2 linked regions of the Kluyveromyces lactis genome follow. The protein of the gene in region 1 interacts with the protein of each later gene in a pairwise test. Links are inferred from orthologs where the notes say so. Each region holds a gene or a part of one and is shown on either strand. Other genes may lie near its edges.

Region 1 (3,228 bases):
ACGACAACTTATATACGTTTGAATTATCCCAACCACGAGCAGCTAGTATTCCTTTGATTGGGCCTTGTACCAAATCGTACTTTGGCCCTGAAACCGTGGAAATAAATCCACCTGGACCGCATACAAGAGAGAGAACTGGCCTCACTTTTGAGTCTAACGAGGTAAACGGCTCATTACCACCGTATGGATAAGGAGAAGGTATTCCTTCCATGGCAGGATCAGATTGCAAAGGAATCGAAATCCGGTTACTCTCATGTGTATGTAATTCGATTCTGTCGTTATCTTGAAGTTTTGTTAGAATACTATTCAACGGCCCTAATTCGGTAAGTGATTTACAACTATGATAAGCACCAATCTTACCTCTGAATGGTGACTCAGTTAAAGTCATTTGTAATAAAGGAACGATACCTGTGCCTCCAGTAAAGAACAATATATCGAATGGTTGGTACTTGTAATTGTCTTTGACACAATCTTCATTCCCCCATAAGAACGATCTATCTCTCGTGATCTCATCGGCAGTATCAGGGAATTCATATTCTACAAACGGTCCACGCAGCTCAAGTACATGTCCCAAAGGTAGATGGTTAATCCAACGAGCCACTTCTCCCTGTTTATACTGTTTAATGTAGAAAGTTAATGCGCCGCTGGCGTTTTCCTCATCTCGAAGTACTTCAACGGCTCCGTTTTCTTCGATTGTCAGAGGCAGAGGTGTGTAGCTTCTAACAACCATAATCTCTGGCTGTTTAACTTCGACTGACCAGAGTTTTGAAGAGTTCATTTCTTTCCAAAGATTAACCTTCTGTGCTTTCAAAGGTGTCAATTCGATCAAATAGTGATCCTGATCAATGGAATACTTCTTGCTGATTTTGTACTTCGAGAAGTAATCCCTTGATAACTCCCTTTGATATAAACTCTCCTTGTAGTAGTTCCATGATAGCGCACCGATTGCAACAGAGCCAGACAGTAGCAGAACTGTTTTCAATAGCGAAGAAGACTTACCAGCAGAAGGTTGAGGTAGAGTTGTTTTCGATGACGACGATAATCTTTTGATGCTTCCAAGTAACAATTTCATCTTATAAGATTCTGATGTCGTGTATTCACAGGTTAGAATCGCCTTTTGGCGTATCAAAGGAGAGTATCAATTATTGAAGAACCACACTAATGACTTTCCAGGTCAATTATGCCAGTGTTATCATTCATATGTATCGATTCTTTATGCATGAGTCTTCCTTGCAATATCTGAAAAGATTTGAAATATAAGAACTTATAATAATTAAGACAAAGAGATCCAAACTTATGATAGTAGCCATATGCATAACACACTTGGTGTTTTATTGATAATCCAAAGAACAAGGATACCTGCAATTAGTATAAGTGCCGTATTAGAACTGAACGATGGCTGGGTTGAAGTTATTGAAGTCGCTTGCATTGCATGATGATAAGTGCTGGAGCGTCGACGTTAATAATGGTGGAATTATGGCAACTGGAAGTACCGACAGAAAGATTAAACTAGTTGATATACGTTCTTTTCAAATTATCGAGGAATTGGATGATACTGCACATAAGAAGACTGTTAGAAGTGTTGCGTGGAGGCCTCATTCTAATATCTTGGCTGCTGGTTCGTTTGATTCCACTGTATCGATTTGGGGCAAGGACGATGATGGATACAACGATGAGAATGATCTGGAAACGGAGTTATTAGCCATTATAGAGGGTCATGAGAATGAAATTAAATGTGTGGCATGGTCTCATGATGGTGAATTATTAGCTACTTGTTCGAGGGATAAGAGCGTTTGGATTTGGGAAGCTGATGAAATGGGCGAAGAGTTCGAATGTATCAGTGTTCTACAAGAACATTCACAAGATGTAAAGCACGTAATATGGCATCAATCGCTTCCCTTATTGGCATCCAGTTCCTATGATGACACGGTGCGTATTTGGAAGGATTGTGATGATGATTGGGAATGTTGTGCTGTACTTAACGGGCATGAAGGGACTGTGTGGTCTTCAGATTTCGAGAAATCTAATTCCAACGTCAGGCTATGCAGTGGTAGCGATGATGGGACCGTCAGAATATGGTGTCTCGAAGATGATAACGGAGAATACGAGCAAGAATGGATCCAAGAATCAATTCTACCGAAGGCTCATACAAGGGCAGTCTACAGTGTTAACTGGAGTCCTAAGGGGTATATTGCTAGTACCGGTTCTGACGGACGTCTAGTTATATACAAGGAATCGGAAGATGGCTGGATAGTTGAGTGCATTCACGAATTAACACACGGAGTTTATGAAACAAATATGGTGAAATGGGTAGAGTATGGCTCTAAAGATGTCATCTTATTGATAACTGCTGGTGACGACGGTCATGTTAACGTATGGAAATTCGATGAGAATTAGCTTCTTTGCCGGACTTTATCAATATCTGATTTGTAACCTAGTATAACCTGCATAAAAATTACATAAAATGGAGGCATCCATGACGCCTCATGAATACCATTCATTCAACTGAAAACAGCCAGTATTGTGAGAAGAAGGAAAAACAATAGTATGAAAAGGAAATGTAGTTTTAGCTTACTTGAACTGCGTCCGGATCTCATAGCGCGAGATAACTCATTTGCTGCATTTCTGGTATTATCTTCTACATTGTACAAATTAGCTTCAATGCTATCTACTAGCTGCCCTTGCTGTTGCACTAAACCACCTAAGTCCTTGAATATGCCATTTAATTCCGTTATACCTTGTTCTATGTTTGATATCTCTTGGTCTCGTTCCCTGATCAGATGTTGCTGGTATGCAAATTCCTCATTATTTATTGGTTCTCGCTCTATAACCACCTGTGTTCTTTTTGCGTGTTCATCTTCTTCCTCTCTTAAAACAGTATCCATCAAGGAATTATTTTGTTCTTCATCTTCCAAAGCCACTTTGGCCATGTCATTTATCCGCTTTGTAACTTCAAGAAAATGTTGTTGATATTTCTTGAATTCCTGTACAGAGAATTTCGCATCCCTAGTCAACTTCTCCCTTGTGATCAAATGAGGCTTATCCAAAGCCGACTCCTCTAACTCATTAACTTTATGAATATTCTCGTTTATCGATGATACTAATTTTGTACTTTTGTCTATTAGTTCAACCGTCTTCTTATTGATATTGTCGATAACTTTAGTGTTAGATTTACCGTGGGATACATTCGTTTCCAAAGCCGTTACAAAGTGGTTCATAGTTGAAAGG
Region 2 (3,672 bases), on another chromosome or scaffold:
AACATCATCGTAGGTAACGAGAGGAATACAGTGTCTTTCTTCCTTTCTGCATCCTTGCCCTGGCCACCCTTTTTTTTTTCTTTTCAATTCTATGATAATTTTCCTTTGTCGCCGATGTGATTGTCAGCTTTCACCTGAAAGTAGAAAAATGCGTTAGCATCTGAGTGGATAGTTATACCGAGTCCCCACAGTGGCTGCTAAGGCCGGAAAAATCTCGTGCAATTGACACTGAGAAAGCTTATTTACACATACCATAAGAGGGTTGGATGGGATATGTCCACCGGGGTTTCTGTGCGGGTGATTCAACGGATATACTTACTTGAGTAACAGAAAGCCAATTAGATTATCCGAAACACAGCTTAAAAGGTGCAAGGGTTTCAGCAACCTATGATATCATTTTTTTTGGCAGTACAAGATTTCCAATATCGTTGATCATTGTCGTTTAGTGCTGCATGCCACAGATGTGGCAACCTTAGTAATTATCAATAGATAAATAAATATGAATGAGAGCGTATATACGAATGACTATGCGCGCATACTAGGTAATTGGATAAAGATTATGCAAAGGACTATGTTTACCCTACCATGTATTACCTACCGCGACCACGTCTGAAGAAGTAGACGGTTCGATAACGCGGAGGTTGTATTTGAAATCATTGGACTTGTCATCGTATGCATGGACTATGTCAGGGATGTTAACCGAATGAACCTTCGTGTATGCAAGCGATAGGTCTTGGGCAAGTTGTTTACGGCGGTTAGCATTTTTTTCTTCGTTAAGTAAACCACCGCCGTTGATACAGCCGCTTGGACAAGCCATAACCTCGACGAAGTCAGTTTTAGCTGGATCTGCTGTCAAAACCTTTGTAGTCTTTTCTGATGTTTCTCCTGATTTTAACACTGATTGTCCCCGCCTTTTCACTTTAATTCCCCTTTTTTTTACAGACGCTGATTGTGAAAGCTTTCGAACCAAATTTTGTATATTTCTAAACCCATATACCTCACTTGACGAGGCTATTACACCTTTACTCTTAGAAACTAATCTGTACTCGGTCACATCGCTGTTCTTACCTTCAATAGTGATAATATCTGACTCAGGATTCGAGGACTGTAAGGAAAGAAGGTATTGGTACGCATATCCGCCACTGCTACTGCCTTCGTTACTTAACCAGTGAAGTTTATAATCCCATCCGCTGGGACATAACTCTTTTGATGAATCATATTCCGTCATGTAACTCTTGAAATCTATCGAAAGATCTCCGAGCATTGCTACAAATTCCTTTGGTGTTATCACACAATCTACTTCTTTTTCACATTCTTCTCTAGATGCCTCTAGTTTTTTATCAAAACATGGCATTATGCTCAAGTGGTAGCATGTTGGATCTGCTTGTTTCAATAGATTGCCTGTTATTTGCTGAGGTGATTTCACATCTAACATATGAGGTATTAATTCTGGTTTCGTTTTCTCTGCATACAACACAAAACCGGGACAAACACTACACAAAAGAGGGCCTTCATTTTCCGGAACCCTGTCTTTTAAGGTTGCGTTTATCCGGGATATTGAAATAGACCTTCCAAACTGGGTACCAACAACATATTTCGCATTGAACTTGGTTTTCATGAAATTTTGGAAACATCGATCGAGGTCTGCAAGGCACATAGAGTAATAGTCAGCCAACGAAAGTCTACATTGAGGAGATATGCTGACAGCTAGAGATCGTTCATCTAGTTCTTCCAATTCGCTCCATTTTTCTAAGAACACCTTATGGCTTTGCTTCGATAATAAAATCTCTTCTGATGAAGTAATGCAACCAGCACAGGCTAAACAGTCTTGCAAACTGATCGATACCTTCTCAGGCTCACTAGATTCAATGCCAACTTCAACTTCAAATGATGGTTTCTTCTCAACCTTTTGAGGTTGAGCTGGTTTCACACACGCCAAACCTGGGCTTATAAAATCGTTCAAATCGGCATCCCTAAGTAACGCACTCATTGTTTCTTTCTATCTTAAAGATCCTCGAAAAAGAAGCTAAGCAGTAGTAGTGTTTTCAAATAAAATAGTCCTTAGTATGCAACTTGAATCGTTTTTGGCTTTGTATTCTGAACGTTCTTATATGGGCTTCTCTTATGCTACTCTGAGTCCATCACAATGAAATCACTTACTAATAAATCCTCTGTCTCAGTTTCTCTTATAATTTCTTTTGAATTGACTAATCAATATGTCAACATCGCAAGTGTCATGAATAACATATTCTCATTCACGTGACTAAAACTTGATAAAGATACCCGCCTTTGATTTTGTTTACGGCAGAAACTGAGAACAATTATTCTCACCGCCGACATGCTTTCGGTTTGGATTTCTGCTTTAGCATTGAGGTTGAAAATTATATTATTAGATCAGTGCCAAAACTGTGATGTTTTATTATGAACTGAGACATCAGTCGAAAAAGTGGACATAAGAAAGAGATATAGTGAAAGAAATACAAATAAACCCTGCACTTGGCTTTGCTAGAGGTTAAACATAGAAGACCTGTTAACGATTAGGTACGTTTAGAAGACTTTCTTATCGAATCGGGTTGCTCTTTCATGTGTTACACGTCTTTTATACAGCATAAAAATAAAGGCCATTCCAAAAAGTTGTACAATACTAAGGGTCTAGTACAGCTAGACAAATTAGGTGCAATCTCTAAATCAGGATATCAGCTCTACGCCGGGCAAGTCATTGAATAAGATTTTCCACTTACTTATTACCTTTTTCCCTTAATATTCCTTAATTTTCAGAACGATAGTTATGATCCTATCGTCGCAGCTCATGCTAGCTTTAATAGCAGTGTCAGGATACGGTAAAGCAATGCAAGTTCCTAAAAAAGACCACGAAAATAGGCAGTATTTTGCAATTGAATCTTATGATGATGTAGGTAATCTACTAGCGGAACACAGTGACTGGAGTTTCGAGCACGATGTTCGAGGCCTTGCCAATCACTATGTGTTCTCGAAACCGTTGCAGAGTTTGGGTAAACGAGATGCGATTGACACAGGATATTCAGAAAACATCATTGATTTCCACGATCTACCCCCCGTTCAGTTACACAAAAGATTGCCTATTGGGGATTCTAGTATGGAACAAATCCAGAACGCTAGAATTCTTTTCAATATTTCTGATCCATTGTTTGATCAGCAGTGGCACTTGATCAATCCAAACTACCCTGGAAATGACGTTAACGTAACTGGTTTATGGAAAGAAAACATCACTGGCTATGGTGTAGTGGCAGCATTGGTGGATGATGGATTGGATTATGAGAACGAAGATTTAAAAGACAATTTCTGTGTTGAAGGTTCTTGGGATTTTAATGACAACAACCCATTGCCGAAGCCAAGGCTAAAAGATGATTACCATGGTACCCGCTGCGCAGGTGAAATAGCGGCTTTCCGTAATGATATTTGTGGGGTTGGTGTCGCCTATAACTCTAAGGTATCCGGTATCAGAATTTTGTCAGGCCAGATCACAGCCGAAGATGAGGCTGCTTCATTAATTTATGGACTAGACGTTAATGATATTTACTCTTGCTCGTGGGGTCCATCTGATGACGGTAAAACTATGCAAGCGCCGGATACATTAGTAAAAAAGGCAATCATAAAAGGTGTAACAGAAGGACGAGATGCAAAAGGTGCACT

The links.
Region 2: the proteins of CIA1 (region 1) and NAR1 interact in binary tests that used the Saccharomyces cerevisiae proteins (3 or more experiments, as listed by UniProt). The link is inferred for Kluyveromyces lactis from reciprocal best matches to the Saccharomyces cerevisiae genes CIA1 and NAR1.

The regions. Positions count from the first base shown.
Region 1 is NC_006041.1:1,944,034-1,947,261, reverse strand, and holds CIA1 (iron-sulfur cluster assembly protein CIA1), read left to right. Parts: upstream 1-1,395; coding exon 1,396-2,397; downstream 2,398-3,228. Other genes in the region: CYC2 (oxidoreductase), read right to left, coding at 1-1,072; SNAP receptor PEP12, read right to left, coding at 2,502-3,228. UniProt on the Saccharomyces cerevisiae protein: Essential component of the cytosolic iron-sulfur (Fe/S) protein assembly machinery. Required for the maturation of extramitochondrial Fe/S proteins.
Region 2 is NC_006040.1:1,673,725-1,677,396, reverse strand, and holds NAR1 (iron-sulfur cluster assembly protein NAR1), read right to left. Parts: upstream 1,991-3,672; coding exon 581-1,990; downstream 1-580. Other genes in the region: kexin KEX2, read left to right, coding at 2,789-3,672. UniProt on the Saccharomyces cerevisiae protein: Essential component of a cytosolic Fe/S protein assembly machinery. Required for maturation of extramitochondrial Fe/S proteins. May play a role in the transfer of pre-assembled Fe/S clusters to target apoproteins.